3 linked regions of the Caenorhabditis elegans genome follow. The protein of the gene in region 1 interacts with the protein of each later gene in a pairwise test. Each region holds a gene or a part of one and is shown in the gene's direction. Other genes may lie near its edges. The genes, in order: Y39B6A.1, phat-1 and idpb-2.

The links.
Region 2: the proteins of Y39B6A.1 (region 1) and phat-1 interact in a two-hybrid assay, tested with the Caenorhabditis elegans proteins (one large-scale study listed by BioGRID).
Region 3: the proteins of Y39B6A.1 (region 1) and idpb-2 interact in a two-hybrid assay, tested with the Caenorhabditis elegans proteins (one large-scale study listed by BioGRID).

Annotation. Positions count from the first base shown.
Region 1 is NC_003283.11:19,201,666-19,205,422, reverse strand, and holds the start of Y39B6A.1 (Histidine-rich glycoprotein-like), read left to right. Parts: upstream 1-1,815; 5' UTR 1,816-1,825; coding exon 1,826-1,877; intron 1,878-2,039; coding exon 2,040-2,192; intron 2,193-2,238; coding exon 2,239-3,757.
Region 2 is NC_003279.8:5,044,069-5,047,825, reverse strand, and holds phat-1 (ShKT domain-containing protein), read left to right. Parts: upstream 1-2,105; coding exon 2,106-2,181; intron 2,182-2,227; coding exon 2,228-2,302; intron 2,303-2,346; coding exon 2,347-2,760; intron 2,761-2,942; exon of another isoform or gene 2,943-3,086; intron 3,087-3,130; coding exon 3,131-3,310; intron 3,311-3,391; coding exon 3,392-3,531; 3' UTR 3,532-3,628; downstream 3,629-3,757. Other genes in the region: phat-2 (ShKT domain-containing protein), read left to right, coding at 272-352, 395-844, 1,212-1,348.
Region 3 is NC_003280.10:5,068,079-5,071,229, reverse strand, and holds idpb-2 (Intrinsically Disordered Protein, class B), read left to right. Parts: upstream 1-1,604; 5' UTR 1,605-1,621; coding exon 1,622-1,678; exon of another isoform or gene 1,679-1,725; coding exon 1,726-1,940; intron 1,941-2,200; coding exon 2,201-2,495; 3' UTR 2,496-2,582; downstream 2,583-3,151. Other genes in the region: C27A2.7 (C2H2-type domain-containing protein), read left to right, coding at 1-46, 351-422, 564-637, 713-866, 1,244-1,372.

The DNA of each region.
Region 1 (3,757 bases):
AAATTGCTCCCGAATGCTGAAAATGTACAGGAACTGGAAAAAAGTCAAGGATCTTAAAAATTAGGCTGCCTGTATGAATTCCACGACAGTATGCTGTGAAATGCTTGAAATTTCAAGTCAAAGGCCCAAAAAATATCAAAGTTTCAGGAAAATTGAGGAAACATCGATTTTCGATGTTTTTCCGGAAAAACTATCCAGATTTGAAGCTTTTTCTCCTAATTTTCCCGGTTTTTTTTGAGAAAAAGTCAAAAACTCGAATTTTGAAGCCAGAAGATTGTCAGGAAACGGAAATTTCTGACAAAATTGCTCAAACTCCTGAATTTTCCACCGGAAACCTTCAAAAAGTGTAGTTGGTACTTCAAAAACCAGTTCAATTGCAGCAAATTAAGAACATTATAGAGATAAGGAGTATTAATTGTTGGTGCAAATAATGAATTATAACCACCATTGCAAGATTGAATGATCACATGATATTTGGAAAACTAGAAAACTAGTATTTCGAATTTCCAACAAAAAAAAGGTGTTAAGAGCACCATTAAAAGTTTGCCATCATCTTTGGAAATGCCACAGGCTCATAAAATAGCAGTTTTGGGTGTGGCTCTTCAGAAAACACAGTTTGGAGTTTTTAGGGGCAGTTGGGAAAGGTCGGCGGGTGCTGAAAGCTCCGAAAGCCCAATCAGAGCTGCTGAATTTGGTTAAAATCTGGAAAACCAGGAATCTAACACCTTGAAGCAACCCAGTGCTGCTCAGAGCTCTTGAGGGCAGCTAAAGCCAGTTGGGAGCTTCTAGAGGCCCATAGAAGCTTATCGGACCAATAGGGAGCTGCTAGAAGCCGTGCTCGTCGGAGCTGCTAAAATCTGCTAGGAGCCACTGGGAACTCACAAAGGACTTGAGGCCTATTAGAATAGTACAGGGCTCAGTAGAAGCAAATTAAATCCTTTAGAAAGCTTGCTTGAACTCCTAGGTCAGGCTGGAAGCTTCTAGAGACATTTATGAGCTGTTGGAGGCAATTGGAAGATTTCAGCAGTCGGGCTTTTCGGAATCACTAAGAGCTCGTGAAGGCACTTTAGATCTGCTAGACGATCACAAGGCTTACTAAAAGCAAATTGAAGCCTTCAGAAAGCTTGCTGGGCGCCTAGGCCAGGCTTTGAACTCCTAGGTCAGGCTGGTAGCTTCTAGAAGTACTTGGAAGGGTCTAGGACTAGTTGGAAGCCGCTAGAAATGTCTATGATCTAACTGAAACAATTAGAAAATTTTAGCAATCAGGCTGCTCGGAGCCACTTGAAGCTTATTGGAAGCAGTTAAACGTTCCAGAAAAGGTCAGTGTCCAAAGGTCAGGCTCTTTTTCGGTATGCTAGAACCTACCGAGACCCGAAAAATCACAAAAACCTCCAACTTCTCACACAAAACCCTTCAGTGAACTACTATAATACAATCAGCTGAAAATTTGAAAATTTTGAAAATTAATCAAATGCTGATGCTCAACAGCTGTCAGACTTCATCACCTCTCCTATTACCTCCCCAAATATTACATCACTCTGACAATCATCGTCCCAAATTTTCACGTTTCTCCTTCTCCGGGTGTCTTATCTCGATCTCTCACTTCTCCAAACATCATCAAAACTTTTAATTGCCTCCCGTGTCAAAATGGGCGGAGTCAAACTTAAGGGAGGCGGAGCCTAAAAAAAGCTTATAAAATGGGGCGGAGGAGGACGGTGATTATCAAAATTTTCGGGGCTTTTTCTCGATTTTACTTCTAAAATCCCTCTTAACTTTGAATTTCGAGTAAAATTCTGAAAATTCTGAAAATTCCAGAACCTAAACAATGACGGTGCACCATCATCATCACACCCACCACGTGTCGCTTCACAAGATCAGTGAGTTTTCGGCGCTTCCTGCCAAAGATCATTCTTATCAGTGAAATTACCGAAAAAATTAGAAAATTTCGGAAATGTTTGCCAACACAACACAACTGACATGTTATCAGTTGTAGTTTCTTAGTATCACCTACGGTAGTCAAAGATCATGATAATTTTCAGAGAAGCTCTTCTCGAAGCACTCCTCGCACGGGCATAAGCTCACTCGGGATGAAGCTCGCTCGGCGCTCCACGATATTGAGCACCTGGCCAAGGAGCTCCACTTCCAGAAGGTCTTTGATCATCATGCTCATGATGGACACATCTCATTGAAAGGTTGGTCCGGAGCTTTGGAATCTCTTAATAAACAGGAATATTTCAGGATTCCTGAGCTTCATCTCCCCACACCACGGTCACCATACCCATCATGCTCACGGAGCCCATCCAGGCCACCACGAGGTCCACCACCACCATCACCATGTGAAGGCTCAGGACTCGAGCAGCTCCAGCTCCTCCTCCAGCAGCAGCTCGAGCTCCAGCTCCTCCAGCTCATCCTCATCCTCTTCCTCTTCGTCTGAATCCGAGGACGAGAAGCACCACCACAAGAAGCACGCCAAGAAGCATCTTAAGAAGCATCACAAGAAGGCCGAGTCTAGCTCTTCCAGCTCATCCAGCTCCTCGAGCTCCAGCTCAAGCTCCTCTTCCAGCTCCTCATCTGAGTCCGAAGACGAGAAGCATCACCATAAGAAGCATGCCAAGAAGCATCTGAAGAAGCATCACAAGAAGGCTGAGAGCTCTTCCAGCAGCTCATCGTCAAGCTCCTCTAGCTCCAGCTCCTCCAGCTCGTCTTCTTCGTCGTCGGAGTCCGAAGACGAGAAGCATCACCACAAGAAGCATGCCGTGAAGAAGCATCACAAGAAGGCCGAGTCTAGCTCGTCCAGCAGCTCGAGCTCGAGCTCCTCCAGCTCCTCTTCCTCATCCGAGGATGAGAAGCACCATCACAAGAAGCACGCCGCCAAGAAGCACGTGAAGCATCACAAGAAGGCCGCTTCCAGCTCCAGCTCTTCCAGCAGCTCCTCTTCCTCTTCCAGTTCTTCTTCATCGTCTTCTTCCTCGGAATCTGAAGACGAGAAGAAGAAGAAGAAGGTGCATCACAAGAAGAGCCACGGAAAGAAGCATCACAAGAAGGCCGCGAGCTCTTCTAGCTCTAGCTCTTCCTCCAGCTCCAGCTCCAGCTCCTCATCTTCCTCAGAATCTGAGGACGAGAAGAAGCACGCTCCAGCCCATCATGAGCACCACGAGCACAAGGATGGAGCTCATCACGAGCACAAGGAAGGAGAGCACCATGAGCACGCAGCTCATCACGACGAGCACGGAGTCCACCACAGACATCATGGAGAGCACCATGGGACCCACCACTCCCCAGCTCATCACGGGGAACATGGGACCCACCACGGACACCATGGAGAGCACCACCATGCTCCAGCTCATCATGGACACCACGAATCCCATGGACACGGACATCACTCCCCAGCCCACCACGGACATCATGGGGAGCACCACCATGCTCCAGCTCATCACGGACATCATGGAGAGCACCACCATGCTCCAGCACACCATGGACACCACGGGGAACATGGGACCCACCACGGACACCACGGATCCCATCACTCCCCAGCTCACCACGGACATCATGGGGAGCACCACCATGCTCCAGCACACCACGGACACCACGGGGAACATGGGACCCACCACGGACATCATGGAGAGCACCACCATGCTCCAGCACACCATGGACACCACGGGGAACATGGGACCCACCACGGACACCACGGATCCCATCACTCCCCAGCTCACCACGGACATCATGGGGAGCACCACCATGCTCCAGCTCATCACGG
Region 2 (3,757 bases), on another chromosome or scaffold:
GCTTTCCACTTTGAGATTATTCGTTGAGACATCTCTCGCTTCAAGACCCTTCACAAAGAAACTATCGCACAGGCTTCAAATTTGAACACTTCCAAAAGTTTTTCTGGGAAATTTACTCTCAAATTAAAGCCAGCAGAAGGGCGCAATTTTAGATTTTTAGATTTTTGAAACTTTTGACCAATCAATGACGTTGACCACGCCTTAATGTCATTGGTCGAGTAACACTTTTTTCGCGCTCAAATTCGATTCTTTAATCCAAACATTTTTTCAGCATGCGATGTTGGTTTGCCTTGTGAAACTGGATCTACTTGTGATCTTACTCTTTTAAGTTGCTGTCTCAATGCGGATCTCAGTAAGTCTCTGGAATCAGTAAATTTTAAATTTCCCTTTTCAGTCACCACTGTGGTTCCATCTAACGTTGTCACCGACGCTTCGGGATCCACTGTGACTGTTGCCACGACTATCCGTAGTGGATCCACTGTCACTTCCCGCACTTCATCTGGAACAGGATGCGTTGATCGTGTCAATTCAGCTACAGGAACTTCTGATTGTGCTAATAGAAGAGCTCTCTGCAACGATGCCAACTACTTTGACGTCATGACTCAACAATGTCCAAAGACTTGCGGAAGATGCTCATCATTCTCTAGCACACCTACAACTGGTACATGCACTGACTTGAAGAACCCAAAGACGGGAACTTCGGACTGCGCAAGCCTGCGTTCTTTCTGTAATGATTCCAACTACATTGATCTGATGAGAACTCAATGCCCAAGAACTTGTGGATTCTGTGGAAGTTCCGGTTCATCTTCTACCACTAGATCCAGCGCAACTGTTTCTTCCGGAAGTAAGTGGGAAAAATTATAAAAGTGTTAAAACTGATTTTAACGGTTGGAGCTTGATTTAGTATTAAATTTAAGCAAAATTTAGTTGTACAAATATTTTCATATTAATTGCAACATGGCCAAATATCACAAATAAAAAGTCCGAGTTTTTAATGACTCAAAACTACCAGCCAACCTTTCCCCAACTTTAGACGAAACTAACTACTTGTTTATTTAAAAAAAGAGAAAACAACTGTCCAAAAAAATCTGAAACATCCGATTCTAAGGTAAAACAATCTACTGTATTATCTAAAAAATGTACGGCCATAGATTTTCAACAATAACACAAGCATTCGTTACTTTCTAAAACCAATCTTGAAAATCTTCCAGCATGTGTCGACAGAGTCAACCCAGCCACCGGAAGATCTGATTGTGCATCCAACATTGGTCTTTGCAACAACTCAGCCTACCAATCCGTCATGCGTGCTCAATGTCCAAGAACCTGCGGATTCTGTACATCCGGATAATTTGTTTCGCCATCACGATTAGTAATAATTGTGTAATAATGTGTCCAATTCATTTTAATTTATAATAAAACGCTGCGAGTCGGGAAGAAATGTGTTCAAATAGTATCCGAAACGCCGGTTGGTTGTACCAATATAAAAACAATGCGCGCATTGTTCTGCGAAAATTTTGTTATTTTTGAAACAGAGCTGAAATGTTTGAACAGCCTTTAGCTCGTGGATAGCCACTGTAAAATATGGAATATTGCGATAAAAACAGATAGACAAGAAATAAAACTTTAAAAAACTTTTACTTGAAAAACTTACAAAGAAACGTTACTTACAGACTCTTTTTGAAAATCCAATTTTTCTACTAGATTATCTCAAAAAGTTAAGCTCAACTCCTACAATCTAAAGTTGTATTCTGGGGTTTTTGCAAGCTTGTAAAACTGTCATAATAGCCGTTATTTGCATAATTATTTTGACGGCATTTTCAGCAAAAAATCGATCACTGCAGACCCGAGATACACATTCTACGTCAAAATATATGTAATTTAAATTTAATAATTTCAGCACTCTTTTGTTGAAACATTTGCCACAAGCGATACTTTTTAGCTATTTCGTCATAAACTTCCATCACGAACGGTATCTAAACTTCTTGATCACATTATTTCAATTTCAAAGACTTATAGCACAATGGTCAACGTTAATTGTTTGAACAGATGGACAGTATCTCACAATATAAAAGCAACTGCTGCAGAACTATAACCATCATTCTATCATGTTCCGTCAATTCATTATTTCATTTGCCATATTCTCGGTTGCATTTGCTTGTGAAGCTTCTGAATCTGAAGGACGTAAGTAACAACTGTAATCGCATTTAGAATAAATACTTTATTTCAGCGTGTGACGGTGGCATTCTTGTGTGCCAGACACAGGTCTGTGACGTGGCAGCTGGTCAATGCTGTCCTATTACCAGTAAGTGAAACAGATTCTTTCAACAGCGACCTTTGAAATTCTAGCTGCTGCCGCTGTTACTTCAACCACTGCTGCTGTTGTGACCGATTCCGATGGATCTACAGTAACCACAACTGCATCATCAGTTACAGTAACTTCTACCTCCACGACAACGTGTGCTGATCGTGTCAATCCATCTACCGGAGTCTCTGATTGTTCAGCTCTTGCCTACCTTTGCAACGACTCGACCTACTACACAGTCATGACCCAGCAGTGCCCAAGAACATGCGGTCGCTGTAATTCTACTTCAACAAGCTCTACTAGCTGTGTTGATCGTGTTAATCCATCCACCGGAGTTTCCGATTGTCCAGCTCGTGCTGCTTTGTGCAACGACTCCAACTACTACACACTCATGACCACTCAATGCCCAAGAACTTGCGGAAGATGCTCCACTTCTTCTTCGACTACTTCATCGTCCAGTAAGTTCGCTGAAAACTGGAACGTGATTCTTTAATTAGAGTTAGATTTCTTGAAACAGAGGACAACAATTTAAATTTCCAGGCACCACATGTGCCGATCGTTCTAACCCATCCACCGGGAGATCTGATTGTCCGGCTCGTGCCGCACTTTGTAATAACGCAGCTTATTACAATCTTATGACAGTCCAGTGTCCGGTAACTTGTGGAAGATGCTCCACAAATAGTACTTCTAGCTATTCCAGTAGGTGGCAGTTGCCTCTTGCTTCGCTGATCAGCTGTAGCTTTTTTTACCTGCTTCTGTCTAATATGCTTGCTTTGTTTGCCTTAGCTTTTCTTATATTTTCGTTTGCACTAACTGAGGAAATTTCAGCCACCTGTGCTGATCGTGTCAATCCAACAACTGGAGTTTCCGATTGCCCAGCTCGTGCTTCTCTTTGCAACAACTCAGTCTACTATGACATCATGACCACCCAATGCCCAAGAACTTGTGGAAGATGCACATCAAGCTCAACTATCTCTGCCACGTCATCAGCTTCTACTACTGTTTCATGTAAGTTTTATTTCTGAAGAATTATAGCTGATTGATTCTACTGTTTGTGATACGACAACTAAGATACTTAAACCTCTTCAGCCACTTGTGTCGACCAAGTCAACGCCGCTACAGGAACTTCCGATTGTCCAAATCGTCGTGCTTTTTGTACCAACTCCGCTTACATTTCCCTTATGCGTACCCAATGTCCACTTACCTGCGGATTCTGTACTGCTGGATAATTTTTGTGTTTGTGGAAATAATTTATCTCTAATTTATGCACCGTCTGGTTTTTGTGATTTATGATTCTAAAGTAAATAAAATAATTTAAATAATTTAGATTTTGAGAAAGTTCGATTTCAAAACAAAACATCTCAATGTTTTAAATGTAATAAAATATTTATTTTTTCATTTTCAAACATTCTGAAAACATATCCAATTTTTATTTTGTTTCATTGAATTAATAAT
Region 3 (3,151 bases), on another chromosome or scaffold:
AGATTTCACTTCCAAAGTGGAGAACAACAATCAACAATCAGAAAAGGTAACTGATAGGTTTTGATATGAGCTATTCTATATATGAATATTAATCTAATTTTCCTGACAGTTCTAAGATATTGTATATCCCCTATTAGTATTGTATGTAATACTTTTTCCATCGATTACTCTGAGTTTAGCTCTTGTAAATATTTCAATTTAATAAGATATATTATATTTAAATATTAGACTCACAAACATTTATTGAAATTGAAAACTTTCAACAAAAGACTACAAACTTACAGTAATCCCAATAGTCAATTGTTTTACACATATTTTATCAGTGTATGTTCATGAAAAATATATTGAAGGTCTACACAAAAGCTCAACGGTCATCTGTCAGGTTTCCAACATACGATGGATTGCTCCCCGCTGGCGGAACAGTAAGCGGAAGCTTATCTCTCTTTCTCCTGTTCTATCATTTTTTGGTATATTCTTCTGTTAGCAATTACTTTGAGAACCTTTTTTTCAATTGTATCTATCATGTTCTTTTCCTGAACACCATCAGTTCCTTCATATTTCAGTACATTTGCGATGAATGCAACAGCGACGAGCGGACCCCATTTCAGCTTTGTGAGCACAAGGCAATTTATCACAGGTTTGCCTATTTTTGAAGAATTTAATTTGTTAGCTATAACTTTTGTGTTTATAAATGTATACTCTGGCGTTTCAGTCCCCAAGACCAGAGGGTTTGGAAATGTGTGTACTGTCACACACAATTTGGAAGGCGAGGTGGACTTCGGAGGCATGTTCAGATGGTTCATATGCAGATGATGCATAAATGTCCCGTAGAGAATTGCACTCATCCAGGATACAAGTGCACAAAGGTGGTCATTTCAATCTTTTTATTGAAGGCAGGACCACGCGCTCGAATTTAAAATTTAAAAAAATTAGATTTATGGAGTACTGTAGTCCACATTTCTTCATTGTTGTTTCAATGTTTTCCGTTCGTTTACATAGGAGCTACAGTACTCCGTCATCCATCGGACGTGTCGAGACGAGATTTTGTATCAGTGGTAAAAACCTTTCAAAAAACGTAGCAAGATTCAAAGGAACCTTTGAACTCTTTTAACTTGAAGATGCAGCTCTAGATTGCCACTAGATTACCAAACGTTATAAATGTTTGAGAATTATTGGTTTCATTAATATTGATTTTTCAAGCCAAAAACACCCTTCAAGTCTATTCAAGTCTATGCTCTTTCAGGCTCTGAATGCTCATGTCAGAACTCATACTCGACCATATGCCTGCCATCGGTGTGATGCTAGCTTTGCACGAAAAAACGATCTACAGAGTCATCTATCAACTCATCAAGCTACTCCAGTCATTCATTAATTTATTATATTATCTCAATTTTCCGTTTCTCTATCTATCTTATTACGATTACCTCTTCTTTTTTTCTGTGATTGTACCATAAACCTCAAAGTCCAACGCGATTTCTCGAGGGTATACGGAAGGGTTGAGTTTTGCTTCCGGAAAAGTGTCAAATGCACTACGCACCGCGCAACCGCAGGCATACTTACGTAAATATTTGAGTGATATAAAAGAAAGCATGAATGGTTCAATGATACACTCGAACTTAACATGAACAAGCTCGTCTGCTCCACCTTCGCCATTCTGGCAATAATCGCAATTTCTCAGGTATCAACGTTTCAGGGGACTTGTGTAGAATTCGAAGATCCTTGCAGGTTCAATCAGCAGTACTACCAGTGTCCTCAAAAGAAGTAGCATTAATAACATCATCTGCTTCAACCACTTCATCATCTGAAACATCAATTGATACATTAGGATCATCCAGAGTTAAAAGACAAGGAGGATGTGGTTGCTGTGGATGCGGATGCGGATGCTGCGGATGTGGTGGAGGAGGTGGAGGAGGATGCGGATGTTGCTGTTGTAGACCAAAGTAAGTTCAGAATTCGACACTTCTACTTTTTTAATTGATAATTCCAGAAATGTTACATTCACTATTTGAAAGATCTTTAATCCTTTAAATCTCAAAGTTTTAAACTTTGTCGTTACGTTTTCAGACTCGTCTGCATCTTCAGCATTTTCAGAATGATGTAGCAAATTTTAGTTCAAATTTTAGTGTAGCAACATCTTTCTTAAAAGAACAGTATCTTTTAGGCACATCTGCCGTTGTAATTTAAAATTTAAAATTTTCAGATGCTGCTGCTGTTGCCGCCGTTGCTGTACATGTTGCCGTACTTGCTGTTGTACAAGATGTTGTACTTGCTGCCGTCCATGTTGTTGTGGATGTGGATGTGGATGTGGATGTTGTGGATGCGGAGGTGGAGGACGTAAACGTCGTTCTCTTCAGAATCTCCGTATTGCTTTGGCTAACAAAATCGAAGGAATCGCCAAAGTCGTGAAGGGATCCGCTGTAGAAGCTTCAGTTATGAACGCATTGGCTCCTGTCAATGATGCTACGGTTGAAGAGAAGAAAGACGTGATCAACTGAGCGATGCGTTTGTTAAACTAATTTAATTAATTTAATTTGAATTCTGTGATTCTCACTTCAGAGAAATAAATAGTTGATTCTCTCTTGATTAACGCAAATACCAAAAAAATGTTATATACATAGAATTAGATAAAAAACGAGTAGAGACAAAGTTCAACAACGTTGTTGTCCATACAAAGCCTTGGAATTTACCGGCCCCCAAAGTATGCCTGGTTTGAGAAACGCTGAAAAATCCTCAGAATTAGATCAGAAAACTCATCAGAAATTGTTGCTTGTAGTAGTGAAATTTTCTTGATTGATCTGAGAAGCTTAAACTTGTTACTAACTTTTCAATAACTCGTCTCATTCTAGAGAACCTGAAAGTAACCGGGAGCTTGTGTGGTAAAATTATTCTACATTGGAAGAAATGGCATATTTCCCTTTTCCCCTATTTTACATTAGGTTTCTATTTTCAATTTCGGTTCAAGAATCATCAATTTTTAATTCCTAGTCCCATTTAGAAATAATGTCGCAACACTCATTCTTCATTCCCAGAGTCTCGCCCATTTCTTTCCCATTGAAACACTAGCTTCTGGTTACCATGACAACTCCATCCTTGTGCTCCAGTAAAAACTGCTCTGTCTCCTCCTTCTCTTTATGCTCACTGCTCCCCCTCC